Linked DNA regions of Callithrix jacchus. The protein of the gene in region 1 purifies or fractionates together with the protein of each later gene. This does not show direct contact. Links are inferred from orthologs where the notes say so. Each region holds a gene or a part of one and is shown on either strand. Other genes may lie near its edges.

Region 1 (14,900 bases):
TTTGTAGAGATAGGGATGGAACTCCCTATGTTGTTCAGGCTAGTCTTGATCTCCTGGCCTCAAGTGATCCTCCCACCTTGGCCTCTCAAGTTACTAGAATTACAGACATGAGCCACCGTGTCTGGCCTGATTTCCATGAAAAATTTTTTATTTTTATTTTTTGTAAAGACAGGGTCTCACTATATCATGTTGCCCAGGTTACTTTTAAACTCTTGGCTTCAGGCAATCCTCTAACATCGGCCTCAAAGTGCTGGGCTTAGGGGCATGAACCAACATACCTGGCCCATTTAAAAATCTTTATTGAGACATTTTTTGTATAGTCCAGCATATGTTTCTTCCTGGTAAATATTCCAGGTATAATTGAAAAGTCACACTGGTTGACAGCATTGCTCAGCTCTTCTATGTCTACTGACCTTTTTCTAGTTTTCTATGATTGCTAGGGCAGGGATGTTATACTTTCCATTTATGATTGTGAAAGTGTCTATTTCTGTCTTATATTCTGGCCATCTTTGCTTTATGTATTTGAAAGCTTTGTTATTGAGTACATACAATTTTTAAAACGATTGTTCCTTCTTGTTGAATTGAACCTTTTAACATTATGGTGGGTCTCTCTTTGTCTCTGGTCATACATTTTTATTTAAGATCTATTCTACATCAAGATCCATTTTCAATCTGATACTGATATAGCCACTCTGGCCTCTTTGTGCTTCCTCTTTCCTTTACATATCTTTCATATGGTTGGAATTCGTGTCTCTGCCCAAATTCATGCACATTTGTAATCCCCAGTGTTGGAGGTGGGTCTTGGAGGGAGGCGATTGAATCACGGGAGTGGACTCTGCTGTTTTGATAGAGTTCATCTATCTTGTTGTCACAGATCTGGTTGTTTAGAAGTGTGTAGCACCTCCCCCGATGTCTCCTTCTCCTGCCTCCCTTCACCTTCTGCCATGATTGTAAGTCTCCCAAGACTTCCCAGAAGTCGAGCAGAAGCAGCCATGCTTCCTGTACAGCTTGGAAACCGTGAGCCAGTTCAGCCTCTTTTCTTCATAAATGACCCAGTCTCTGGTATTTACGGCACTGTGAGAACAGACTAATGTAATTACATTCAATTTACCTTTGTCTCTAGAGCTAAAGTTCATCTCTAGAGATGGGCTATTGCAGGGTCTTGTTTCTTTGTCTTTGGAGTGTTTTGCTCCTTAATGATTAAAGTAATTATTGATAGAGTTGAGTGCAGGTCTGTCGTTTAACCATATTTTTGTTCTTTTGTTCCTCCTCTTTCCTTGACTTTTACATTTTGTTTGATCTTTATTTTCTTTTTATTTTTGAGACAGGGTCTGACTCTGTCACCCAGGCTGGAGTACAGCAGCACAATTACAGGTCACTGTACCTTGACCTCCTGAACTCAAGCAGTCCCCCTGCTTGCAGTCCATTACGGCTATTACTATACTTCTTTATATAAACCACAGAAATTATGCAACCTTCTAGGCCCACCTCACCATGCTTTATTGTGGTTATATTTAATGTATGTATATACATTAGGAGCCCATGACAATGTTATCATTTTCGTTTTTAAATATTGTGTAGTTACAAAGATTCTAAGAGGAAAAAAGAAGAAAAATACTCAGATATTTAGCCTTTCTGGTGCTCTTTATTAATTTCTGAAAGTCCAAGTTTCCAGCTGGTGTCCTCTCGTTTGGCCTAAAGCAGTCCTTACACTGCAGGTCTGCTGGTGACAACTTTTCTTTATTTTTTCTGCAGATGTCTTTATTTTGTTTTTGTCCTTGAGTCATATTTTCACCAAATACAGAATTCTGGTTTGACAGATTTGTTCTTTTACTACTTGTTTCTTTTAATTTATTTTTTATTTTTGTAGAGACAGGGTCTCGCTATGATGCCCAGGTTGGTCTCAAGCTCCTGCCTCAAGTCAGTTTTCTGCCTCAGCTTCCAAAGTGCTGGGATTACAGCATAGGCCATTGTGCCTGGCCTCTTTTATCACTTTAAAGATGGTGTTCCAGCCGGGGGCTGTAATCCCAGCACTTTGGGAGGCTGGAACAGGCAGATTACAAGGTCAGGAGATGGAGACCATCCTGGCTTACACAGTGAAACCCCATCTCTACTAAAAATACAAAACATAGCTGGGTGTGGGTGGCACCCACCTGTAGTCCCAGCTACGTGGAAGACTGAGGCAAGAGATTCGCTTGAACCCAGGAGGCGGAGGTTCCAGTGAGCCGAGATCATGCCACTGCACTCCAGCCTAGGTGACAGAGCGAGACTCTGTCTCAAAAAAAAAAAAAAAAAAAGACGGTGTTCCAACTTCTTTTGTCCTCATGATTTCTGTTAGTAAGAGTTATGACATGGCAAATATGTCCATGCCCTAAGACTCAAACCTGCGAAAAGGTTACATCACATGGTACAATGGTTTGGAAAGTGTCTCCAAAAGTTTATGTGTAGGAAACTTAATCCCCAATGCAACGACATTGGAAGGTGAGACTTTAGGAGGTGATTAGGCCATGAGGGCCCTGCCCTCATTTATGGATTAATGTCATTATGGAGGGAGTGGGTTTGGTCACAGGAGAGCAGGTTTGTTACCACAGCGAGTGTGGCTCTCTTCCTCTCTCACATCTACTCCCTTGCCTTCCGCCTTCCACCATGGGATAACACAACAAGAAGGCTTTCACCAAATGAGAATTGGATTGGTGACCTTGGATTGCCCAGCCTCCAGAACCATGGGACACACATGCCTCTTTCCTTTGTAAATTACCCAGTCTGTGGCCCTTTGTTATAGCCACACAATGTGGAGTGAGACCAATGGCAAAAGGGAATGTCGGTTATAATTAAGGCTATGGACCTTCAGATAGAAAAATTAGCCTGGGTTATCTCGTTGGGCCCAATCTAAATACATATGCCCTTAAAAGAGAGAACTTCCTCCAGCTAGAGCAGGGGGGAGGAAGAAGAAGATAAAGTCAGAGAAATTTGAAGTGTGAGTGGGACTCTGCCCACCATGTTGGCTTTGAGGATGAGAGAAGGGGTCATGAGTCAAGGAATGCAGCCAACTTCTAGAAGCTCACCCTTACCACCATGTGACACTGGATTCTGCCAGCAACTTGAATGAGCTCAGAAGAGAATTTACCCCTAGAACCTCCAGAAAGAAACGGCTCTACTTATTTGAGGTTTTATCCTCATAAGACTCTTAAGCAGAGGGCTCAGCTGGGCCGCTTTGCACCTGACTTCTTGTCTATTTAACTATGACATCATAGATGGGTGTTGTTTTAAGTCTCTGAATTCATTTAATGAAGGTAATTCGTTATGACAGTAATAGAGCAGTTTCTGATGAGAAGTCAGCCATTAGTTGGATTAACTGCTGAGCAGCACGTGATATGTGACTTTAATTGCTTTGGATGTTTGGCTTTTAGCAGAGTGACTCTCGTGTGCCTTCGTGTGCTTGTTTTTGCTTATGCTGCTTAGGATTCATTTTCCATGTGCAAATTTATGTCTTTCCTAAAATTCAGGATAATTTCAGTCATAATGTCTTCTAGTGTTTATTCCTACAGCTAGTATTCTAATATAATCTATAAGAACTGTAAGCTTTGTTCATTTTCAAAAGCATCTTTTCTCTGTGTTTTTCATGTCGGGCAATTTCTGTGGGTTCATCTTTCAGTATACTCACTCTGTCATTTCCCTCTGGCTGGGAAGCCCACTGAGGAAAGATTTCATTTCAGAAATGGTATGTTTTTAAGTTCTAGAATTTCCCCTTGGTTCTTTTTCACTGTTTCTGTTTTTCTCATGAGGGTTCCCATTTCTCTGTTGAGATTCGTTAGTTACAACATTTCGTTCATTTAGGGACTGGATTTCATTGATTTTATTGTATCTTAGTGTGTTTCAATTAATAGATAGGTAGACAGATGATAGATAAAGAGTTGATAGACAGATGATAATGTTTTATATTTTTAATACTTTTGAGTCCTACCATGGACATTATGGATGTTAAACATGATGGATGTAGGTATTCCACATGCTATTATTTTTCTCCATTGAGGACTCTTTTCTTTCTCAGCAGGTCGTGTTCTTGGCTAGGCTTGAACTGTAACTGTTTTCTGCGTGGCAGCTCCAGCCTCAGCTCAGGCCTTGGGCTCTAGTTGCTTCTTTTGGGTCTATTCCTCGGGTGCTGGGCTCAGGGACGCTGCAGTCAGTCTGGGCATTCCCTCTCGGGTCTTTGTTTTCTGGGATTTCCCCATTATTTTCAGTGTTCATGGCTTCCCAGCTTCCCCTTTCTCATTCCCCAAGGAAGAAAGATCAGGAATTGTGTTAGGTGCACCCCGCCGTTATGTATGCCACCCCTTCTGTGGGAGTTCGCCATCTATGGCTTTGTATTACATCTACTGATTTCACAAATTTGTGTATCAAAACCCCAAGTACAACAGGCTTACCTGTGACAAACAATGAAGGGAGAAATAACTCTGTGTCCTGACATACGTGGACACTTGTCCAGTTGTTTTCTATTCGTAAAATGACTAGCACCGGGTGTGCTGTTTTAAAACATTCATATCTAGTGCCCAGGAATGCTTTATCTCCACATTTCAAACCACTCCTGGTACTACCAATGTTTAATGTTTTCTAAAGTGACAGCTGGAATGGACACTCTCTTTTATTTTTAATTTTTTTACTAAAAGAGGTTACATAGAAATTTTTAGTTTTTGTCTAATTATGACCTTTAAATAGATTTCTATTTTTTTTCCTGGATTATTTGAAAAATTACTTTATATAATTGTCTTAGTCTGTTTTCCATTGCTATTAAAGAACACCACAATACCTGGGGCTGGATTATTTTATTTTATTTTGAGGCAGGGTCTCTTTCCATCGCCCAGGTTTAAGTGGTAATTTTTTTAACAAACCCACTCTCACCTTGACTAATCCAGTCCTAGGAGAGCGAGAACTCACTCATGCCTGCAGAATGAACCCAGTCAGACAGAGGGTATAACCCTCTTGACCTGATCACCTCTGAAAGGCCCCACCTTCCCCTGGGGACCAAATTTTACACACATCAATTCTGGGGACACACTGAAACCATGACAAAAATGAAGATCATTAATGCTTTGTCTCTTACACATGTCACAAATCATTTCCCCAATTTATCTAGCTTTCACTTGTGTGGTATTTTTTGAATATAGGACTTTTAACATTTCGTTTTTTTTTTTTTTTCTTTTTTGAGATGGAGTTTCAGTCTTGTTACCCAGGCTGGAGTGCAATGGCACGATCTCGGCTCACTGCAACCTCCGCCTCCTGGGTTCAGGCAATTCTCCTGCCTCAGCCTCCTGAGTAGCTGGGATTACAGGCACGCGCCACCATGCCCAGCTAATTTTTGTATTTTTAGTAGAGACGGGGTTTCACCATGTTGACCAGGATGGTCTCGATCTCTTGACCTCGTGATCCACCCGCCTCGGCCTCCCAAAGTGCTGGGATTACAGGCATGAGCCACCGCGCCCGGCCAACTTTTAACATTTCTATAGTCAAATCTATCATGGCTGAGAAACTTAGAAATGAGGTTTCTTGCTTGGCAGTCAGAGAGCCCAGAGTTCAAATTCTGCCTCCACTTACTACGAGCTGCATGAGTTTGGTGCACTGCTTAACCTCTCATCCATAAAGTGGTCGCAGCAGAGTCAAGCTTTGTGGAATTGTTAACACACGGTACAAACCATAGGTGTCAAATCCGGATGCCAGAGATGGGAAGTGAGAAGCGTTGTCAGTGGTGCTGTCGATGGCAGCTGCTACCTGTTCTTTCCATGGTGAGGATTATTTCCTGCCTGCCTTTTTTTTTTCATGCTCAGACCGTGCTTCTCCACCTCAAGTGCTTTGTGTATTTACCTACATTTTCTTTAGCGCATTTCTATTTTCATGATCTACCCCAGTCCCACTGAAGTGTTAACTTTATAAAATCTTTATTTTATGCGCTTTTTCAAATTCTTTATGAGCTCAGTGCTATTTTAGTTAGTTTGTTTGTTTGAGACAGAGTCTTGCTCTGTCTCCAGGCTGGAGCGCAGTGGCACAATCTCTGCTCACTGCAAACTCCACCTCCTGGGTTCAACTGATTCTCCTGCCTCAGCCTCCTGAGTAGCTGACTGCAGGCAGGCACCACCACGCCCAGCTAATTTTTGTGTTTTTAGTACAGATGGGGGTTTCACCATGTTGGTCAGGCTGATCTCGAACTCCTGACCTCCTGATCCGTCTGCCTCAGCCTCCCAAAGTGCCTTTTTTTTCTGAGACAAGATTTTGCTCTGTCACCCAGGCTGGAGTGACTGGTGCACTCATTGCTCATTGAACCTCAAACTTCTGAGCTCAGAAGATGCTCTCACTTTGGCTTCCCAAGGTGCTAGCATTACAAGCGCGAGCAACCGTGCCTGGCCTACTTATTATAATTTTTAATGCACATTTTGATAGTGGTAGGTCGTACTTCTATTCATCTTATTAAATCCTTTTCCTGCACTTTCTTTTTACTCTTTCAGAGGGACTTCCGGTTATTGGATAGTTTTCTTGGGCTGGCATAAAGTATATGAGGAAAACGACAGTTTCAATCTTTGAATCTGGGAACACTGCGGGTCTCTCCGTTTGTTTACATGTCCTTTCACGATTTTCACGAAGTTTTCTCTCACTGCACACAGCGGGTTAAGCCGTTCCCTCGCACTTTTACATTGCTGCCAGGTATCAGACCCATCTGATGGCGCATTCTTTCTCATTTTCACTGGTACCTAAGAAAGTACAGACATTTTTATCAGCTGCAAGTATTGCTTTTTACATTTTTTCTTTAAAATCTCATTTCACCATCGGAAATATCTAGCACCACGTTAAACGGTGCAATACACAGCAGAAGAGCGTCCTTGATCTTTTCACGTTTTACTCATTATGAGGCTAACGAGGGAGACAGTATCTGTTCCCATTTTGCAGATAAGGAAGATAAGGGAGCTGGGGCACCGGTGACTGGGGAACTCGTCCCAGTCCCATGTCGGATTTGAGCCCGGGCAGCCTGGCCCTGCTGGGTGAAAAGTCCCACTCCAGAGAAGAAACACAACGGGTGGTCGCGCTGTGCCCCCACCGCGAGGAGAGGCCTCTGGGTCACCGTCCCCGGGGCGCGGCGGCTGGGCCCGGCTTCCCGCAGCGGGGCGCTGTCGGCCCGTGGTGCGGGGTTCGGGCCGCGGGCGGGGAGTCCCGGTGGGCTCGCTGCGGGCACCAGTTGTTCTCTGGCCGTGGCGCGCGGCGTCCAGGGGCGCGGCGTGGAGGGGCGCGCGGGATGGGGCGTGGGCGCCGGGAGCGCCGGGCGGAGCCTTGAAAAGCTCCCGGGAGGCGGCGGCCCCGCGGCCCAGACGCGCGCAGGGACCATGCCTGGCAACGGCAGCGCGCTGCCCAACGCCTCGCGGCCGGTGCCCGGCGGGGACGCAGCGCGGCCGGTGCCCTCGTGGCCGGCATCCGCGCTGGCCTGCGTCCTCATCTTCACCATCGTGGTGGACGTCCTGGGCAACCTCCTGGTCATCCTGTCTGTGTATCGGAACAAGAAGCTCCGGAACGCAGGTAGGGCCCGCGCCGCGCCCCTGGTTCGCGCCCCGGACGCCTCGGGCGGTTCCGAAACGCCGCGGGCTCGGAGTCGCTCTCCCTCCGGCCGGCCCGCTCGAGTGCCTTTCGGTGACCCGGAGTCGCGGCCCTGCGAGGTGGGACCCTCCGCCGGAGCCGGGCCCTCTCCCCTGCGGGGACGCCCGGGTCTGGTGTCCTGTCTCGGGTTTACCAGAACGAGACGCGTCGGCTCCAGGCTGCGGGAAGTTCCTCAACAGCCTCTGCAAGGTTCGAACCGACCCGCGGCTTGGTCCGACACGTGGTTTACTTTTCCTAACTTTGTTGAAATGTGGAAACGCAGAAGCGGGCACCACGACGGAGCAGCCGCTGCGGTTTTGCCGCTGGGAGTGGTCGGCAGCCACGAGCCTGCGGTGGAAGGAGGCCCCGAGCAGGCCGGGTACGCGGGGGACACTGTGGACGCAGAAGCTGCACTGTCTCCTGTTCTGTGTGACAGGAGGGGCTGCCCTTACGCGGAATATGCAACTACCGATAATTCTGTGCTTGACTTAAACTTGCTTTTTCCTCTGAGCAAGGAATTGAACTGGTTCGTTCTGGTGGGAAGCTGGGGACACTTTGCTGTTAGGATACCGGATGTTCAGACTCTGGGTGATGATTAGATGCTCGGCTCTCTGAAGAAACTAGTCTTTTATTTGGAGAAACCTTTGGGAGAAGGGGTGGGAAAGAAAACACGCACTTAAATGTCTGCCAAGATCAATATTTTTGTTCTAAACAGGGAATTGAGAAAAGCTCTCATTTTGTTGAGCTCCTTTTGGGGAGGCTCAGCCTTGCCGTTTTTCCCTGTAATGATCTTGCCGTTTTCAGTTTGAAAATTAGTTAATAAGCACCTAGTGATATGAATTGAGTTTGGGTTAGTAAATTGAATAAGCTCACTTCGTAGGTGATTGACTTAAACTGGAGGAATTCTGCCTTCAAGAAGAGGCTCATTCCTTCCTAGCAATAAAAACGGCTTTCTTGGCCGGGCGCGGTGGCTCACGCCTGTAATCCCAGCACTTTGGGAGGCCGAGGCGGGTGGATCACGAGGTCAAGAGATCGAGACCATCCTGGTCAACATGGTGAAACCCCGTCTCTACTAAAAATACAAAAAATAAGCTGGGCACGGTGGCGTGTGCCTGTAATCCCAGCTACTCAGGAGGCTGAGGCGGGAGAATTGCCTGAACCCAGGAGGCGGAGGTTGCAGTGAGCCGAGATCGTGCCATTGCACTCCAGCCTGGGTAACAAGAGCGAAACTCCGTCTCAAAAAAAAAAGGCTTTCTTTGGACCAAACAGATTGTGAGCACTGGGATAACTGAATCCCAGGGCCGCCTCGTGGTCTGGCGCTGTTGTTAACTCACCTTACAGAGGAGAAACTGAGGCTTCACGTTGTTCACAGGGACTGGAAGTGCGAGCAGGGTTCAGTTCCTGGAGCGGATCTCCGGGCTCAGCCTCATTCCTCGCTGGTCTCCGGGCTCAGCCTCATCCCTCGCTGGCAGCACCTGCAGCCCTTGGGAAGTTTGAATCCTGCAGAACGTTTCATTTAAAAAGTGTCCACAGCCGGGCACCATGGCTCCTGCCTGTAATCCCAGCACTTCGGGAAGCCGAAGCGGGGGAATCACCTGAGTCAGGAGTTCGAGACCAGCATGGCCAACATGGAGAAACCCCCGTCTCTACTAAAAATACAAAAAAATAGCTGGTGTGGTGGCGCACACCTGTAATCCCAACTACTTGGGAGACTGAGGCAGGAGAACTGCTTGAACCTGGAGGCACAGGTGGTAATGAGCTGAGATTTTGCCTATGCACTCCAGCCTGGGCAACAAGAGTGAAACTCCATCTCAAAAAAATAAAGTGAAATAAAATAAAAACCAAAAGTGTTCACGCCTGAACAGTTTTACTTCTTGTGTTTTCTGAAGAAGAACTTAAGAAAAGGGCTCCTTACACACACTTTGTATTTTATTTGCTAAGGCATATCCTTAAGAGGACGGTCTATAACATACTTCATTCCTGTAGCTACCTGGAAGACCCTTAGTGAGCTTAGTGAGCTTTAGAAGCTCCATATTTTTATAATAGGGACTTTTCGTTTATAGGTACAGCTGCAGCCGTTTGAGGGTTTCAGAATGGATGGTGATTTGGAAAGTCGTAAGGGTAGCTGATTCAAATGTAAGTTTCGGCAAAGCTTGGTAGAAGTTTGCATGATTTTTCAGCTGAATTAATTTAGTTGGTTTTAAGAATGAAGGGATGGGAAGAAGAGAATGGAAGAAATGAGAATGTGAAGGCATCTACAGTTTGAGCTCTCACTTTCCTTTGGAAAGCCCGGATAATTGCAGTGATTGATGCCACCTTCCTCCTCTCAGGGGAATGTGCTGACATTTGACTTCCCAGGGAAGAAATGAAAAATGGCTATCAATCTGTGTGTTGGTGACACTGGACAGTCACAGCTGAGGCAGGCTGCAGACAACCACTGGCATCTGTGGTGCTGACAGAATATTCACTCAGCCCTTGTCAAAAATGTGATAATAGAATTTATCTGCTATGTCACGTCTTCTGAGTAAGTTTGATAGCATAGTGGACGATTCTGGCAACGCAATGCTAGGACTCGGTCCTTGCTGTGCACCTTCTGATTTCAGAAATCAGTGAAGCTAAATACGAAACTTCATTCTCCCTGCCGAATTACAGATGATACCTGACTGTTTAGCCTCACAAGACTGTTGCAATGACTTGAGTGAAATGGCGCGTATGAGAACACTTTGAAAAGGACAAAACAAGTAACACCGTGTCGGGGTGTTTTCTGGGTACACCTCACAAGGGTGTGCTCTGTTTGTTGGAAACCATTGTGCCAAAGACCTATGATTCGTGCACTTTTCTATATGTACATTATACTTAAATAAAACTTATTTTAAACAGTGTCAGGCAAGAGTACAATACCATCTTGTCTATTCAGAATTCAATTATCTGGCCATCTAATGGAAGTAGAATACAGCCAATAAGTGGAAATTAGCAAAAGTGACAGGCTCTCACCCACAGCTGATTTGTTCTAACTTTGAGTCCCATCAAACAGTGATACCAGTGTCTAGGTCCCTGTAGATTATGAGCAGGAAATTAGGAGGAAGATTGGCACATTTAAAGAAATGGCATATAATAGCAAGCAGCATGGGTTGAAATAGACTCATTAAAAGCAAGTTTGAAACATAGAACAAGCACGACCTTCTGTGCTTACATTGTGAAGATGCAAATAACCCTGCTCACGACGAACGGCAGTGCAGGGCACTGACATATGTATTAATCGTCACCTGATCCATCAGGGAGAGGTGTCATCGTGTGTGGTGTGCTCTACTTAAGACAGAGGTATAATACATTTTAGAAAGATACCTGTCAAAAGCAGTTTATTATTATTTAATCTGTAGGCACAGGAGGGTTAAATGTCAGTAAATGTTAAAAAAAAAAAAATTGTTTCCCAGAACGGTCCTCTGGCTGGGTGGCTGACACTGGGCCTGTGCTAAGCCTCTCTTACACAAAATTCAGGTCTCTATAGAATGTTATATTGATCCATTCTACATTACCAGAATACACAGAGTATGGAGCAAATTTGGACTTTGGGCCTCAGATCTGATTCAAATCTTGAATGTACCAGGGCTGTTTTAAGATGCCACTAGAAGGATAAACTTAGATTCTGCCCATCAGTCTACCTACCTACCCATCTACCCACCCATTCATACACCCATCCATCTACCCATTCACCCACCCATCCATCCATCTATCCATTCATCCACCCATCCATCCATCCATCCACCTATCCTTCCATCCATCCATCCATCCACCCATCCTTCCAAACATCCATCCACCCATCCATCCACCAACCATCCTTCTATCCATCCACCCACCCACCCATCCATCCATCCACCCACCCATCCATCCATCCTTCCACCCATCCATCCACCCACCCACCCATCCATCCATCCTTCCACCCATCCATCTATCTACCCACCCATCCATCCATCCTTCCATCCATCCACCCACCCATCTACCTACCCATCCTTCCATCCACTCATCCATCCATCCACCCATCCTTCCATCCATCTACCCATCCTTCAATCCATCCATCCTTCCACCCATCCTTTCATCCATCTACCCATCCATCCATCTACCTATCCATCCATTCATCCACCCATCCATCTACCCATCCATCCATCCACCCATCCTTCCATCCATCCATCCTTCCATCCTTCCATCCATCTATCCACCACCCACCTACCTACCCATCTACCCATCATTTTGAGGTATAAATAATAGTATTATGATGTTATTACTAGTATGCATCTGGTGATTTGTTCTTTTTAGGTTATTTTTATTTTTTAAATGTTCATATATTTTTAAGTGTATGTTTTTTAAAAACCAAGTAGATGATGTGAATGGGAAGAAAGTGAAATCAGCCAGAAATGGTTTAGAATCAAATTCCCATTTGTGACATTATGCAAAATACACAAAATATTCCTTGTCTGAGTTTTCCCTTTTGTAATAACCATTATCTCTCTGCAGAAAGTAAGCTTGAGATTTAAAGACTTATTATTTCAATATTCAGCTGTTCTCTAACTTTAAGTGAATCAACTCTAGACACTGCAGTAGCTTTCTTGGGCAAGCATGTTGCCATTCAAAACCTTACGACGTACCTTGTACTGTAGAGATGTGGACGATGGTTATAAGCTGAGCCCATGCTTCATGCCATCTCCAGTCTGAGATTTCCTGTTGGCACTGTTGCAGCTTCCCGCCTGTAGCTTTCCACACTATTTGATATTATTGATTCAAGGCCATTTTTTCCTTTTAGAGACATTTTATTGATTTTCCCCCCTTGTATGCTTAGCTGTTCTTCAGATTTCTATGACTTTTTATCCTGGTTTGTATAGTACATTATTACGGAACCCTAAGTTTTTACAAATGTGTCAGAGTAATTCCCAGAATTCCCCGTAAAGCTTATGACAGTAGTTTCAGACTCTCAAACACATGATTGAATTTGGGTCTGACCTTTGGTTCCTCCAGCTATTTATTTCATAAGAAAGTGTTTCTGGCAGGAATTTTCAATGTTAAATTAATCACAGATAAGATAGAGTTTATGTTCACTGGCTTCCAGCATCATTTTTCTCTTGGCAATTTTGGAAGTTAACCAAGGATAAAATAGTCCTAGATTAAAGCTCCTGCCATTTGATGGTTTTGTTTTAAAAATATCTGCATTGAAAAGTATCATGCCTTGGAAGTCACTTTAAATCTTCATAGAGTCTTTGGAGCTCATTCTGCTCCTTCTTCATTAGCACCGTTTCAAAAGAATAACCAGTACCATGCTGTTTTGATTACTGCAGCCTTGGATAGTTTGAAATCCGGTAGTGTGATGCCTCCCACTGTGTTCTTTTTACTTAGAATTGACTTGGCTATGCGGGCTCTCTTTTGGTTCCATATGAAGTTAAGGTGGTTTTTCCCAGTTCTGTGAAGAAAGTCAATGGTAGTTTGATGGAGGTAGCGTTGAGTCTGTAAATTACTTTGGGCAGTATAGCCATTTTCACGATATTAATTCTTCCTAACCATTAACATGGAATGTTTCTCCATCTGTTTGTGTCCTCTCATATTTCATTGAGCAGTGGTTTGTAGTTCTCCTTGAAGAGGTCCCTTATGTTCCTTGTGAGTTGTATTCCTAGGTATTTTATTCTCTTGGTAGCAATTGCGAATGGCAGTTCATTCTTGATTTGGCTCTCTTTAAGTCTGTTATTGGTGTATAGGAATGCTTGTGATTTTTGTACATTGATTTTGTATCCTGAGATTCTGCTGAAGTTGCTTATCAGTTTCAGGAGATTTGGGGCTGAAAAAATGCTCATTGTCACTGGTCATTAGAGAAATGCAAATCAAGACTACATTGAGATACCATCTCATGCCAGTTAGAATGGTGATCATTAAAAAATCCGGAGACAACAGATGCTGGAGAGGATGTGGAGAAATAGGAACACTTTTACACTGTTGGTGGGAGTGTAAATTAGTTCAACCATTGTGGAAGACAGTGTGGCGATTCTTCAAGGACCTAGAAATAGAAATTCCATTTGACCCAGCAATCCCATTACTGGGTACATATCCAAAGGATTATAAATCGTTCTACTATAAGGACACATGCACAAAAATGTTCACTGCAACACTGTTTATAATAGCAAAGACCTGGAACCAACCCAAATGCCCAATGATGATAGACCAGACAGAGAAAATGTGGTACATATACACCATGGAATACTATGCAGCCATCAAAAACGATGAGTTCGTGTCCTTCATAGGGACCATCATTCTCAGCAAACTGACACAAGAACAGAAAACCAAACACCACATGTTCTCACTCATAGGTGGGTGTTGAACAATGAGAACATATGGACACAGGGAGGGGAGCACTACATACTGGGGGTCTGTTGGGGGGGAATAGGGGAGGGACAGCGGGGGGTGGGGAGTTGGGGAGAGCTAGCATGGGGAGAAATGTCAGATATCAGTGAAGGGGAGGAAGGCAACAAATCACACTGCCGCGTGTGTACCTATGCAAGTACCTTGCATGTTCTTCACATGTACCCCAAAACCTAAAATGCAGTTAAAAAAAAAAGAATAACTAGAATAGCTGAAGTGAATGGAGCATCCGTACAAGGTGCCTGGAGTTTTCCCTTTCTTCCTAAGTATTTGTAAGTTGCCTCACCGACAGAAATACCATGTTTTTCTAAAAAGGAAATTCACATACTTTAGAATTTTCTAGTACCAAAGAGGCGATGAGTGGATTGTTGTTAAAGAAGCGATTATGCACGCACAGAACTCTGCCTGTTTCATTGGTGCCCTCTCTGCTCAGGAAGACAGTGCCTTAATCAGCAGCCTCATTTCTGCCCCTCTCAAATAATCAAGTTGACCAGAGACCTGAGGGCTGTATGTGACATCTCAGTGATTTTTAGTGTTACAGTGTGCAGATAAGAAATAAACTGGATTTTTCTGAATGAAGTGCTCAAATACTTGTCTTTCTACAGAGCCGTGCGCTGTTGGCAATCAAATTGGAGGAATCAGTCTCAGAAGAACAGACACAAATGAAATGCAGCCATGGTGCTGAATATTACTCCGGTTAGTGGAGGCGAAATTGAGTTGTTAACGATTTAAAAGCGTGCCCAGTTGCTTTCATACCGAGTAGTTCTGGTGCTTATTGAACTGAACATTTATTTGGGTAAATACTTCCTGCATTCCTAATGTATAAGGCAGAATGTAAATGGTTGGTAAATTTTTGAGGGGTTGTCAAAATCCAAGGTCCTACGCTG
Region 2 (15,065 bases), on another chromosome or scaffold:
TGCAACAGGCACAGTGGCAGGTTGTACCATCAGCTCTTCAAGGACAAAGAGAAGGAGGGAGGTTAAGTTAAATCCTTGGCCCCAAAGCCCTGAGAGCTTCTGAGTTCCCTGCAGGGCTTAGGTAGCTCCTCTCCAGTCATGCAGGAGCACTCTGAAGGCCAGGACCTATTGGGTTAGTAGGGCTAGACATAGGTCACTGGCTTGGAGATGGTGCCTCTACCTCAGCATTCCCTGGAGACTTGGGAATCCCCTATGTAGCTTGTTCCTCTGTGATGCCTCATGGCAGTCCCTTCTCACACCAGTGTCCTCTTGCTCTCCCTATTCTGGCCGGGTTGGCCTCTCTGGTTCAGGAGCATCCAGCTCTCCTTCCCACCCCAGGGCCCTTGCACTTATTGCTTCCTCTGTCGTCACTCTCTTCTGGCTTGCTACAAGACTGGTCCTGGGCCGGACACAGTGGTTCATGCCTATAAGCCCAGCACTTTGGGAAGTTGAGGCGGGTGGATCAGTTGAGGTCAGGAGTTCAAGACCAGCCTGACCAAGATGGAGAAACCCTGTCTCTACTAAAAATACAAAAAATTATCCAGGTGTGGTGGCTCATGCCTATAATCCCAGCTGCTGAGGAGGCTGAGGCAGGAGAATCGCTTGAACCGGGGAGGCAGAGGTTGTGGTGAGCTGAGATCATGATTCAAGTTCCTCTCCTCAGACTGTCTTCTCCTGCACATACCTCCCAGTGGCTCTAGTGTCACCCTGTTGATTTCCTCCGAAATGGTGAAGTTCATTTCCCTGTTCGTTTGTTTGGTGTGTGTTCCTAGAGGACAGGGCCCAGCTGCCTCTTTTACCATAGGGTTCTCAGCACATTAGCAGGCAATATGTTCAGGGAACAGTGGTTGAACAGATGACCCCTCCCTCTGGATCCTCCTTTACTGCCTCCCAGCCCCCACCCCTGTGTCAGTTTGGGCCCCCTTGCCTAATCCAGATACTTATGGGGAAGAAATGCAGGGGCCTGAATTCTCCAGGTCAAAGCCAATGATCTGGACAAGGGTGGAGGACCAAAAAAGAAGACTTTGGGACCCAGGACCCCCAGGCTTGCAGGTTTTCCTCCTGGGGGAAGAGAGGCCTGGGAAGAGGGGTCTGGCAGGGAGCAGGGAGAGAGGGCAGAATAGCTGACTCCAGCCTCAGAACTGCCACTGGGCTAAGAGGCAGGAAGGGGAAAGCGCAGGAGATGCACCAGGAAGTGGAGCCTGCCCCAGGGCAGTAAGGAGGGAGTAAAGCTGTGAGCACCTGAGGTCTACGAGCTGCAAGGCTGTGATTGAGTAGTCACAGGTCCTTGGCCAGGGACTCGCTGTCACCTGGGAGCCATGGAGGTAGGGTGGTCGGTATCCTGAACTCTTGGCATCCCTGTGGGGTCCTACCTGGTTCTGGACTCTGGGCAGCGACGGGCACACCCACCCTGAAACTGCCTTTGGGGAAGTGCTAGCAGCTTCCCCTTCCTGGAGCCTGCATGCAAGGGTGTTACAGCCCACTGAGAGGGTCTTCGTTCCTCACCCCACTCAGGGCTGCAGCTCAATAGGAACTCAGCCCATGCTGGACCTGCTCTGCAGCCTGTGGTGAACCCCAAGGCTATTCTGGCTGTAGGGGTGAGCCAGGAGCTGCCACTTCTCCATTCCAGCTGAGATGCCACCCTCAGCTCTGCTGAAGTCATTCCATTGTCCTTTATGGTCTAGTCCAAGCAGTGCTGGGCTTGGTGGGCATGGGGACAAATCATGCCTCCTCTCATGCTCATGAGGCCCTTGCTAGGCAGCTACCCTCTGCCCCAAAAATGACCTCTCCTGAAAGGACTCCTGGATTCCTGAGTGTGAAGAAACCAGGATGCCCACAAGGTACCTCACTGATGACTGCAGCTGCATCCTAGCCCACTCTAAACCTCAGCTGACTCAGCTGCAAAGCAAGGGGTTTGTTTCTCCAGCTCTCAGCCTTGATTTTCTCACTGGCTCTTCCCCAGACCTCCCCTTTCAGACCTACCACCCTGCCTTCGCATGTACTCTTCCATCTTTTTTTTTTTTTTTTTTTTTTGAGATGGAGTTTCGCTCTTGTTACCCAGGCTGGAGTGCAATGGCGCGATCTCAGCTCACTGCAACCTCCGCCTCCTGGGTTCAGGCAATTCTCCTGCCTCAGCCTCCTGAGTAGCTGGGATTACAGGCACGTGCCACTGTGTCAGCTAATTTTTTGTATTTTTAGTAGAGACGGGGTTTCACCATGTTGACCAGGATGGTCTCGATCTCTTGACCTCGTGATCCACCCGCCTCGGCCTCCCAAAGTGCTGGGATTACAGGCTTGAACCACCGCGCCTGGCCTCTTCCATCTTCTTACAATATTCTTCCTCACTGTTCTGCCTCCAGCACTCCCTGCATCATCTCAAAGAAAACTTCCTGACCTTAGACCCATTTTACTGATAAGAAGACTGAGGCACAGGGAGTTTCTGATACTTGTCCAAAGTAACAAGTAGTTGGCAAGTTTGGAGACTGCTCCTCAGACTCTCTGCTGCCAGCTGCCAGTCTACAGCCTCCACCTCCTGCAGAGTCCAAACCACCGTGTGGGGGCTTTATCTATCCTCAGGGCACTGGGGAACCACAGAAGATTTCCAAGCAAGGGAGTGATGTGATTGCTTGCCTCCTTCCTTCCTTCCTTCCTTCTTTCCTTCCTTCCTTCCTTCCTTCCTTCCTTCTTTCCTCCCTCCCTCCCTCCCCCCTCCCCTCCCCTCCCCTCCCCTCTCTCCCCTCCCCTCCCCTCCCCTCCCCTCCCCTCCCCTCCCCTCCCCTCCCCTTCCCTTCCCTTCCCTTTCCTTTCCTTCCTTTCTTCCTTCCTTTTCTTTTTTTGAGATGGAGTCTTGCTCTGTCATCCAGGCTGGAGTGCAGTGGCTTCATCTCGGCTCACTGTAACCTCTGCCTCTCAGGTTCAAGTGATTCTCCTGCCTCAGCCTCCTGAGTAGCTGGGATTACAGGCACCTGACACCACGCCTGGCTAATTTTTGTATTTTTAGTAGAGACACAGTTACACTATGTTGGTCAAGCTGGTCTCAAACTCCTGACCTCGTGATCCACCCGCCTTCGCCTCCCAAAGTTCTGGGATTACATGTGTGAGCCACCGCGCCTGGTGATGTAATTTCTTTCAGTAGGATGTCCTTGGCTGCCATGTGGAGGATGGATTGTAGGGGAAACAGGAGAGCCAAGGAAGAGCATAGAGTCTTAACTGGGAGATAGTAGGGACAGAGAACAAATACAGATTGGAGGAGAAATTGAGGTAGGGAAGAGGCTGATGGCAATATAGGGGTAGGGGAGGGAGGTTGTTGCTATGGCTGGTTGGGGGACCATGAAGTGATGGGGAGCCTAGGAACAGGGGCCAAGTGGGATGGGATGTACCCAGTTCTGGACAGTGTGTGTTTGAGGTGCCCAAGGTGTCTGGGGGAGATTTCAGAGCAGTGGTGGACATGGGGCTGGCAATCAGGGAAGTGGAGAGGACCCTGTGGGTTTCTGAGCCCCCAAAGTGGGAAGCATATGACTGGAGTGGCAAGCAGAGGCCTGGCTATAGCCCTGGGGATGCCATGGAGATGGAGAAGGAGCAGCCAGCTGAGTGGAAGCAAGGGGTGCTGGACTCTCTGGGAAGAGCACAGGACTGGAAAGGAGTAGCTAACTAGCAGGAAGGGTGCAATAACCACAGCATCTGGCCTGGGGCTGGGGAAGGCCAGCCTCCATCCTGCCCTGCTTCCATAGATTGGGGTCTATGTTGCGCCCACCTACTGAGAGCTGGGCCTCCAAGGGGCTGACAAGTTCTCCCTGTTGCCTGGCAACTGTGAGAGCTGTTGGCTGTTGCTAGGAGCAGGCTAGAGAGGCCAGACGAACGAGGATCGAGGATCGGCGATCGGCTCTCAAGCCTGGGGCGGGGCAACCGGTGAAGGGAAGGGGAGGGGCCCACCTTGGAAGCCAGTTTGTCGTCTATGCATGGACAGACAATATTCTTGGCCATGTGTACCCATTTCTGTAGTGTGTTCTGTGGATTTAAGGCATGTTAGAAGCTGACCTATGTGTGGGTATATACAGCATATCTGTGTCCCTGATGGGCATTATATGTCCTCAACATGTTGCACGTCCATGGCAGGGCCTGCCTGAGCTTCAGAGCAGTGGTGGACATGGGGCACCATATCCCATGTTTCAGGACAGGAGGGAGCACTGAGGGAGTCATTGGAGGGCTTCCAGGACAATGACTCCTTATCAAGAGAAACATTCAGATAGGGTTACGCAGGCACTCCAGAGAGAATAACCAGCCTGGGGATTGGGACAAAATGTGTACCAAGCTTTGTTGTTTGTTTGAGACAGAGTCTCACTCTGTTGTCAGGCTGGAGTGCAGTGGTGTGATTTCAGCTCACTTCAACCTCTGCCTCCCAGGTTCAAGCGATTCTGCCTCAGCCTCCCCAGTAGCTGGGATTATAGGCACACACCACCACACCCAGCTAATTTTTGTATTTTTAGTAGCGACAAGGTTTCACCATGTAGACCTGGCTGGTCTTGAACTCCTGACCTCAAGAGATCTGCCTGCTTCAGCCTCCCAGAGTGCGGGGATTACAGGCACGAGCCACCGTGCCTGGCCAAAATGTGTACCAACGTTCTAAGGCATTGGTCTGTGCTAAACAGTGGGCTGTTGTTAGCAAGCACCCTGTCTTGCTTCAGGGACCATGGCACTGGGGCCACACAAAACGCCTTGGTGGGTAATATTTGGAGACCCTTCCAATGTCCAGTCGAGGTTGGGGCTGTGGGCTCCTCCTGGAGCGCAGGATCTGAGACTTGAAATGTTCAGCTAGAAACACTGCTGCCTCCACCCCACCTTTGCCTGGCCATAGGGTTGCAGCCATTGCCCAGTGGGGACAGGCCACAGGAGGGTGGGATGTGGGTTCATGGCCACCTCCAGATGTGGACAGGCCATGGAGAAGACAGATCATAAGATCATGGCCACTTTTGTTTCTAGAAGTCCAGTGGCAACTTCTTCCTCTTTCTTCTCTCCCAACCCCCTCACCCTGCCTGTCTGCCCTCCCCTCTTCCTCCCTCTCCACCTTCTCTCCCTCTCTCCCTTCCTCCTATGGGTTCTGGTTGCCTGGTCCCAGATTGGAGTCCAGGATGGCTGCATGAAAAATGCCTCCAGGTAGACTGGGGAAGGATGGGTAAGACTTGGATTTCTTGAGAAGGCACCCAGCTGAAGGAGACAGCCTACACAAAGGTGTAGAGGTGGAAATCGACTTTTTTTTTTTTTTGAGACGGAGTCTCTCTCTGTGGCCTAGGCTGCCGTGCAATGGCACGATCTCGGCTCACTGCAACCTCCACCTCCCGGATTCAAGTAGTTCTCCTGCCTCAGCCTCCTGAGTAGCTAGGATTACAGGTGCCCACCACCTGTTACTTCTGGCTAATTTTTATATTTTTAGTAAAGATGGGGTTTCACCATATTGGCCAGGCTGGTCTTGAACTCCTGATCGCAAGTGATACACCCGCCTCGGCCTCCCAAAGTGCTGCCTCGGCCTCCCAAAGTGCTGGGATTACAAGCGTGAGCCACAACGCCAGGCCTTTTTTTTCTTTTTTGACTTGCTGCAACCCAGAGAAAGAAGCGGGTAAACCAGCCTTAAGTCTGAGAAAACCGCGGTCCAGAAGGGCCCAGGGGTTCTGTAGATCCTAAAACAAGTTTATTGGACCCATTAACTTTAACAAATAACAAAAGGCACGCCTCCTCCACCTAACTCGCCCAACTCACAGACGCTCAGAGGGCCGGTTCCTGCTCGGCTCTAGAGGACACGAGATCCCCACCCTCGCCCTCCCGGCTGTCCCGCACCACCCAATCGGAGCCCGGCCCCGCCTGCAGCCTGTCCAGCTCCGGGTCCCTTCGTTCGGATCCAACCCTATTGCCTTTGCTCGGCATGGCCCCGCCTGCAGCCCAGGCCCGAGCCTGGGCTGCGCTTAACTTCTCGCTTCGCTCCACCCTAGAGCCAATCACCAGCCTCGAATTTCCTCTGGCCCCGCCTCCAGACCCGCCCCGGCCCAGTACCGGGCTTGGTTCGTCCAGGCCCCACCCCCGGCCCTCCCCGCCGTCGGTGCGCGGCGGTCGGGAAGGCGCCTCCTGCATACGCTCGAAACTGCCGACCCGAGAGCTTCCCACATAGGGCCGGTGGTGGGAGCCGAGTGGGTCGGGCGGGGCCGAGCCGGGCCGTGGGCCGTGTGGGGGCCGGGTGGCGGCCGGGCCGGCGGACGGCGGGATGGGGTGCACCGTGAGCGCCGAGGACAAGGCGGCGGCCGAGCGCTCTAAGATGATCGACAAGAACCTGCGGGAAGACGGCGAGAAGGCGGCGCGGGAGGTGAAGTTGCTGCTGTTGGGTGAGGCCGCGTCCCGCAGCTTGAATCCCCCCGGACGAGGACTTTGACCTCCCAGACTAGGGCTTCAAACTCCCAGGCCCGCCTGGATCCCCACACCTAGGCCAAGACCAGTTGAAAACTCTAGGGTGGGCTAGACCTTTGATCCTGCCCAGACTCTAGGCCAGATCCCCATCTCATTCCAGACCCCAGACCTCCAAATCCAGTCAACAATGCCCCAACACCCGCGGTCCAGAGCCCTGCTTGGCCATCCGCCCTTGCTAACCAGCTTCACAGAACTTCCGAGCCCCCGCCATCCTTCCCTACACTTTACTCAAACCCCCAGGACGCCCGCCACTTGTTCCCCAACCCTCCGGCTCCACATGTTTTCCTCACCTGCGCCTTTTATTCCTGTTGGGCGTGAGCATCCCGCGGGCCCCTGCCAGGCCTCCCACCCACTGCCTCCTTCTCCCTCTGTTTCCCATTCGTAGTCTGGAATCTGTATTCTCCACCTGTGCACTCTGAGGAACCTCTCGAGTGGGAAACTGTTCTTGAGCCCCCTCTCCAGCTGGAACCTCTTCAGCGAGCCCTGCTCCCTGCTTCCTGCTCTCCAGATCCCTCTCTGCAGACATCACTCTCGAATCCCTTTGATGCTCTTCCCTTAAGTCCTCTTACACTCTGGCCTTCCCCAGCTCCCTCCACCCCTCCTGCACCAAGTGGGCTGGGCTAGGAGGAGGCAGCCCTGCGTTGGAGAGGGCCTAGGCTGCCTTATGCAGAACCCCCACGGGCCTGGACTGAGGCTCCACTGGTCACACTGGGGGAGGAAGCCGGGCCTCAGGCTTTCCAGGGAGAGGCTCTGCGGGCTCTATGTTTTACAGTCTGGGAAGTAGGAAAGAGTGTGGAGGAGTTAGGGTTGTGGCCGCCTCCAAGGCCAGGGAAGATGGTGGCTGCTAGAGCTGTGGGGGGAAGTGGAAGTGGTGAGACAGCCGACATATTGCTGCCCCTGCAGGTGGGCCCAGGAGATCTGCTAGTAGGTGCTGGGCTGCCCACACCCCTTCCGGGCTGCAAGGCCTGGGATGTAGCCTTTGAGAGTAGGGGGACTTGTTGGATCTTGGGTCCCTGTGAAGGGGAATGGTGGACTGGCGGAATGAGGAGTTGGGCTAGTTGGGGGTGGGCCAGGGTGCCTCTGAGCATCCCTTTCAGCAAAGACCATGGGCTTACTGGTTGTCCCCATCCAGCCTCCCACTGGAAGCAGGGGTGGTATCCAGTGACTCTGATTTTGATTTGGGGGTTTTAGAGTTGGGGGGAGGGAGGCTCTCGTAACAGCACAGCACCGTTGTGGGCTGGGTAGTGCACGGGGGGGTGTGGCCCCTCAGCTTCAGAACTGTCATGGGGCCCCAGGCTGTGAAAAGCAGGGCTTTTCATGCTAGACTTGTGGCCAAGAAACAGCATGTATGTCCATTACGGGCCCATCTGTTGACTGTCCCGGGGGACCCGGCCTCAGGGGCACAGCCCCGGAGGTTTCAAAATGGCATCCGCTTCGCTGCTGCCTCAGGGAGGAAGAGAAGGGGCGGGAAGGGGCGGCGGCCCAGCCTCCTGGGCTGCTTTGCGTTGGGCGCTTGCCTCTTCCTGTCTCTGCTGTGAGTGCGGCAGCGGCAGTGAGTGGGTGTCGACGCGGCGGAATGCCCTTCGCTGCTGCTGCCGCTGCCCGCGGGGCCTGGGGAGGGCACTTCCGGTACCGCTACCTCCCAGTGCCCAGCCAGAAGCCTCTTCCCAGGCTAATCGCAGTTACTGTGGTGGAGGAGGAGATGTGAGACTGGACCATAGAGCTGGGAGAACCCAGGGCTTCTGGCTAGTTTTGTGTCCTGACACCAGATGGGTCCCCCATCCCACCAGGCCTCGGCTATAGCGTCAGGTGGGACCTAGCAACTCTTCCCACACTGGGCTTGCAGCAGCCAGGGGTGCAGGGTCTGGCTCAGCACTTTTTAGCCTGGGGAGTTCACCCTGGGGGCCCGCCTCTCTGGCCTTTGCTTACTCTGTGAAATGGGCTTCCTGAGTTTGGGCCAAAGGAGTCCCCCAGCTCAGGATGGGGAGAACAAGAGCCTCCTGGTGGTTCTTGTTGGGGTTGTGGGCTGGGGGTTAAGACCCCACAGAGTGTGTGCTGCAAAGGGCTCCAGCCAAGCTCTGCCTGATACTGACAACCCAATCTGCCTTGGCTGCCTGGGGAGGAATCCTGGCTTGAGCCAAGCCTTTCCCATCCAGGTGCAAGGTGGCGATGGGAGCCCAGCTGTGGCAAGGTCAGAGTTCTGGGCGCCTGTTCCATGTAGCGGGAGACTTTGTCCAGGCAACGGGACACAGGTTGAGCAATTGCCAGCCTTCCCTCCCAGCCAGAACCACGCCTGCTGCCCCGCCTGCACACTGCCTCTCTCCCTCCCATCCTGGATAGCTCTGCCAGCAGGTGGGCACAGTCCTGTCACCAGGGCAGAGGCTGATGTGGTACACGCAGAGTTTTTCCTGGCAGCTTGGTGGGGGGAACAGATACCAGTCCTACTCTAGGGGTGCTACCCACACCTACCCAGCTCAGTGTGACTGACCAGCTAGGCCCAGATGGAATCTGGGGCTGTGGGCTGGGCACTTAGGGGCAAGGAAGCCAGAGTGTGTGTGAGGGGGATAGTCTCTGATTTGGGATGGGCTTCTGTGGACAACTTAACAGAAAAAGGGGACAGTGTCCACCATTGGCTCCATAAAGGCTTCAGAATGTAAATATAGCTGTTCTCTCTTGTCCCTGGAACTTTGCATCTGCTGTTCCCTACTTGATTGTGCTTTAAAGCTTTACTTGGGAATCACCTCCCAGGATCCTTCCTGGACATCCTCCCTTGACCAAGGCTGGTGAAACATCTCTGGCTCCCAGCGCTATTGCTTCCCCTATCAGATACCTGGAGACTGCCGTTCAGGACTATGTCCTCTTCATTTCTGTGCCCGGCATGGAGCCTGGCATCTACTGGGTGCTTCTCATCTGTTTGTTGAAAGAAGGAAGTGTCCTCTGAACCTGATTTTGGGTAGATGGAGGAGTAAACCGAGCAGCAGTTTGGATACTGTGGGCAGGTGGCAAGGGCCCACAGGCCCACGGCAAGGTCGGTGACCAGCATTGAGGGGACACTGAGAAAAGCTCTTCAGGCTGTTTCTTCCCAGCCCTGCCACAGGCTATGCTGGCATCTCAGAAACAGTTCTTACCCCACCCCTTGCGGAACTCCTGCTGAGCAGCCTGCAGCCTGTTCATCTGGGAGAGTGGCTTTATATTCTTCCAACTCAGGCTGTTTGTGCACTGCTAGAGGGCTGCTGTCTCTGCCACTCCGGTAGCCACAGTAGAGCTTGAGCTGTCTTGTCCTACTGGGGCTGCCCCGCTGCCCTGGGGCTCAGACCAGAGCAATGCTGTGAGAGGCCTGGGACTGGCCAGCGCAGAGACTGCATTGCAAGGGCTCAGTTAGTTTACCAAGAGAAAAAAAAGGGAATTTCATGGCCTCTGTCCTGTCTGTGTCGCTTGCAAAGGGCTGGCATACTATAGATGCCTAATGAGTGTATATGGACAGAATGAAGTGATTGAACATGTCCATGAACAGGGCATAGCTCCTGGGAGAGGGGTAAGTTTAATCCTGCTGCAGCCCTAGAGCCTGGTCTAACAGGAGATAGATGGGAAGGGCTAGCCTGGGGTTCTGGCTGGCTGGGTGGTGGGTTAGACTCTAGTGGTGTCTGTGAAGGGGAGCTTCCTGGAGGAGGAGGGCATCTGGTGGGCATCTGTGAAGGATGAACACCATTTGCCAGGGCCAGGCACTGGGGGGCAGAGGGACTGACTCGACAAGGGCACTGCAGCGGAAAGACTTGGCCCTTTATTCCCAAGACCTTGGATGGGTGTTTCCTGGCAGGGTTGTGGGAGAGCCCATCCTCCCTGGACCAGCCCATGGGGTGGCTCACACCTATAATCCCAGCATTTTGGGAGGCCGAGGCAGGCGGAGCACCTGTCAGGGGTCACAGGTCAAGAGTTTGAGACCAGCCTGGCCAACATGGTAGAACCTCATCTCTACTAAAAATACAAAAAACTTAGCCAAGTATGGTGGTTCGTGCCTGTTATCCCAGCTCCTCAGGAAGGTGAGGCATGAGAATCGTTTGAACCTGGGAGGTGGAGGTTGCAGTGAGCCAAGATGGTGCCACTGCATTCCAGCCTGGGGGACAGAGCAAGACTCTGTCTCAAAAAAAAAGAAAGTGGATGAGACCCACTGCTGAGAGTCTGATGGGAAGGAGGCAGCCATTCACAGCAAGTGGGGAGCCCAAGGTGTGCAGATAGTTGGCGACAGACTGTTCTGGGCACCTTAGGCTCAACCTCTAGGGGCCTAGGTTTGGAGATGTGGCAGGGCCCTGGGTGCCAGGTGGGCCAGCACCCACCCAGGCTGGCCTCCAGCCCTGACATTCTCTCCCAGCCCTCTCCTTCACTGCTGGAGCTCATTAGCACTTGAATGGGGGGCGGGGTGTCTTGGGCCTCTGAGTCTCTTCTTCCCACCCCTCCCCCAGGCCTGGTGGGGCTTTGTCTGCTGGAGCAGACGGAGATGGAGCTCCCACGCTAAGGAATGAGCAGGGGTCCAAGCCATAGCTGATCCCCTCTGCCTGCATCCTGCCCAGTTCTGCTAGGCTCAGGCTCTGCCCCTCATTCCAGTGTCAGCGCAGCCAACATGAGGTCATACCTCTAGGGTAGCAGTGAGACTAGGTCCTTCAAGGGATACCTCTGAGCTGAGAGACTAGGTAAATCAGGGCAGCTGGAGCTCAGCTGGGGGCATCACAGGTGGGGTGGGGGAGGGGAACCCCAGACAGCAGGTAGAGCAGGTTCGAGGACAGGAGGACAGAGGGAATAAGAAGCTGTGGCTGGAGGTGGAAGTCAAGCCAGCTGGGGGACAGAAACTTCCATGCCAGAAGCCCTGAAGCAGCATCTCATTACCCACTGTGTGTCGGAGCCTAGGCTGCTGGATGGGGGCTGGGCATGATCCTGAACCCATTTGGCCAGGGGCAGCTTGTCAGGGGTTGGCCCTGGGTGGCCTGAGAGGTAGGGTCACTGAGTGGCATCACTGATGTCCCAGGCCCTTGAACATTTGTTTGCCTAGCAAGTGGCACAGGTAGTACTGAGGGTGGGGTGTGGTCAGATCCCAGCAAAGTCCCTAGGCCTCCAGCACTGCAGAGGTGGGCAGTAGGTGCACTTGACGCTACTTGGACCACAGGCAGACATGCTGGTCCTGTCTGCCTTGCCCTTGATCTCAGTTCTTAGTCCCTGGCTGTGTCTCTCTCAGTCTGTCTCTAAAAGCCGCCCATTCACTTGGCAGGAACAGGATGGAGGAAGCTTTGTCCCCCTCCAAGCTCTTAGCCACTGAGGAACCAGGGCCTCCCCACCCCCAGAAGAGGAGGAGACTGTTGGTTGCCCCAGAGCCCGAGTACTGCCTTCTCTATACCCTGTTGTGCTGTTGTGCTGTGGCCGGGAGGCAGGACTGGGCAGATGGAAGCAAGGCATAGGCCAGGGAGCAGTCTCATCTTCCCAGCATCTTGGGCCAGGAGTCCCAGCCTAGGCATTCAGCAAAGAGAGGGAAGGGGTCAACAGGTCTAGCCAGGCCACTGCTGATGCACCCTGCCTAAGAATGCACTGAGAGGTGCTTTGGGGAAGGCAAAGGATTGCGACCTTTGATGGTGGCCCTGGTACCTGATGCTCTCAGGCAGCCTTCCCTCAGCTACAGGGGCAGGGTGGGGCCCTGTCTGCCCAGCCCCACCCAGCCCTTCTAGCCTGAAGCTCTTGTTCTTACTAAACACTAACCCCACCCTCACCCTGATGTTACTTCTTGGAGCTGTGGCCGCTCTTAGTGGCTGGGGAGGAAGAATCTTTCCGAATAACCAAACATTTGCTGGGCTGGTTCTTCTCTGCCGGCCTCTGTGCACATTTACAAGTCTTGAAAGGCAGCATCACACCAGTCTGAGCAAAGGCCTAAAGGTGGTGTCATCTAAGCCTTGTTGGGGAGAAGGTATCATTATGGCTTGGAGGAATCTGGGGGCTCCAAGGCTGCTGCCAGCCTCAGAATCTGCAAAGGAGGTATTGGTAATACCTACTGTGTGTGCCCCAGGCGGGGAGGAGGAGTGAAGTCTGCACGGCATAGCACAGCACGGCAGGGCAGGGCTGGGCCTCTCGGGGAAGTGGTGTCCACACTGGAGGAAAAGGAGGAAGCAGCTGGGGGAGGAGGAGCCCAAAAGAGGAAGAGGCCAGAGGGCTGCCTGATGCTAGGGTGGGGGTGAGAGCCCAAGGGCCCCCCAGGGCTTTGCCAACTGGAAGGGTCTAGGAGGTGAATACCTGCCCAGGCTTATCTGTGCATTCCTGTGGGCCATTCTAATGGCAGTCACTGGGTTGGAGCCAGTCCAGGTAGCACTGTCCCTTGTCCTGCCCCATCAACTGTTGAGCCCAAGATCCCAGAGAAGGTGGTGCCTCCGAGAAGGATTCCAGGCCCCTCCTTTGGCCACAGGAAGTTGTGGCTGGGAGAGGGACACTGGTGGGAAGGCTAGCAGGAAGGCAGAGGGGTTGCTCTTACATTCCCGAGCGGCCATTGCTCTCCAAAGCCGGAAGGCCAGCCACAGGCCGAGATGAATGCCTGGAAATGCAGCAGTGCCGAGATGAGCTCACTCTGGGTTTCCCCTGCTAGGGTGGACAAAGGAGCCCATGCCTCATCCTAAGGATTCTCCCTTGCCAGCACCCACTCACTGGGTCTATGGGTGCATTCACGGGGCCTCAGTTTCCCTTCAGGTGATAACCACAGCTGTCTCTGATTGAGCCTTCACTGTGGAGCTGGACTCTTCATGATCTTGTCCTATTTAATCCTGTGAGGCTGGGACTGACATTACATCCATTTCACTGATGGACAAATTGAAGCTCAGAGACATTACGTCATTTACACAAGAAGCAGAGATGCCAGGACATGGCCCATGCACCTGCCTCCAACTGCCATAGCCCCTTGGGAATCTGTGCTGGCTGGAAGAAATGGATCAGGCAGGACATCGGGCGGATGGTGTGGGAGAGGGACACTGGTGGGAAGGCTAGCAGGAAGGCAGAGGGTGCATGTGTGTTCTGTATGTGCCTGTGGGCCTTGGCTCGTAGGCCTCAATTCCTCTTTTAGGAGACAGAAAGGGAGCTGTCCGATCTGGAAGGCGGGACCCAAGACTCTTGTGTATGAATCTTTCTACAGCCGTGTGGTCACGAGGAACACTCCCCTCCCTTTTTTTTGAGACGGAGTCTCGCTCTGTCTCTCAGGGTGGAGTGCAGTGGCGAGATCTTGGGTCACTGCAACCTCCGCCTCCCAGGTTCAAGTGAGTCTCCTGCCTCAGCCTCCCAAGTAGCTGGCATTAGGCATGCACCACTACACCCAACCAATTTTGTATTTTTAGTAGAGACGGGGTTTCACCATGTTGGTCAGGCTGGTCTCGAACTCCTGACCTCAAGTGATTTGCCTGCTTCGGCCTCCCAGAGTGCTGGGATTACAGGTATGAGCCACTGAGTCTGGCTGCAGCTGCTCCATTTTTACTTCCCACCTTTCCTTCTAGCCCATATCCCCTCACAGTGATGCTCAAGTTATAGCTGGCAACTTAGGACTAATTTTTTCCCTAATATTATGCTTGTTCTCCCACAAGCTCCAGTCTTAGTGGGACTGAGACCAAGCCTGGGGAAGGCTCAGAAGCTGTTGAAGTCCACAGTGAGGGCCTCTGAGACTAGGAATTGTCCAGAGAAGTGAAAGGAAAGTGTGTTCCTTAGGGCCCCACTGTGAGCAAAGGCTCAGTGCTGGGTGCGTGTGTGGTGCTGTGTGGTGGCTGAATGTGGCCATGATGTCAGCTGGTGACTGCCTGATAGTTGATGAGGCTGCTTCCTCACGCTCCTTGGCCTCTGAATCTCAGTGTTATGACCTAGTGGGGCCTTATCCTCTTCTGTGGGGGTTCCTAGGGGTTCTGCTGTGTTGCCAGGCCAGGCCCTAGGGGGCTAGAGGCCTGAGGGGCTAGAGCAGAAGCATCCAAGCTTCTCTGGGCCATGAGGTCATGCACAGAGCAGAGACCTGTGCATCCTCATGGTCACCCAAGACTCTGGGTCCCAGAAGGTCCAGTTCCTCACTTTTCTCACTGTGTGACCTCAGGCTGTTCTCTTCCCTCTCTCTGTCCAGTACTAGAACCTGTGATGCTGTGATTCTTAGCATGGTCTTCTGGCTTCTGGACACAAGGACAGCTGCTGGCTTGGGTTGGGCCCTGAGGCAGTTTGGGGTGAGTGCGCAGACCCTAGGGAGGCTACTCAGGGCAGGCCTTGGGTTTGGCATGCTCCCTTGAGGAGTGCATTTTGTAGATGAGGTCTAGGCTCTGGGTACCGGAGTCCACCACTGTGAATCAGAAGGGAGGAAGGGTCATTCAGGCACCTTGGGAACAGTAGAGGGATGCCTGAAATAAAGAGGCCCACAGGGAGACGGTGCCAAATGGTCTAGCTCCGTGTGATCTGGATCTTGTCCAGCACCTCCTGGCTCCTGCACGGGGCGGGACCTGGGGCCTGAGGGGCCAGTGATGAACAGGTCTGGGGCCTCCTTTACGTCAGGCTGGCCTTCCTCACCTGGTGCCTGAGTTTCCCTC

The links.
Region 2: the proteins of MTNR1A (region 1) and GNAI2 purify together in Homo sapiens (tandem affinity purification; 3 studies listed by BioGRID and IntAct, with this or other methods). This does not show direct contact. The link is inferred for Callithrix jacchus from reciprocal best matches to the Homo sapiens genes MTNR1A and GNAI2.

The regions. Positions count from the first base shown.
Region 1 is NC_133504.1:5,044,910-5,059,809, forward strand, and holds the start of MTNR1A (melatonin receptor type 1A), read left to right. Parts: upstream 1-7,345; 5' UTR 7,346-7,367; coding exon 7,368-7,557; intron 7,558-14,900.
Region 2 is NC_133516.1:32,818,120-32,833,184, forward strand, and holds the start of GNAI2 (guanine nucleotide-binding protein G(i) subunit alpha-2), read left to right. Parts: upstream 1-6,160; 5' UTR 6,161-6,292; coding exon 6,293-6,410; intron 6,411-15,065. UniProt on the Homo sapiens protein: Guanine nucleotide-binding proteins (G proteins) are involved as modulators or transducers in various transmembrane signaling systems.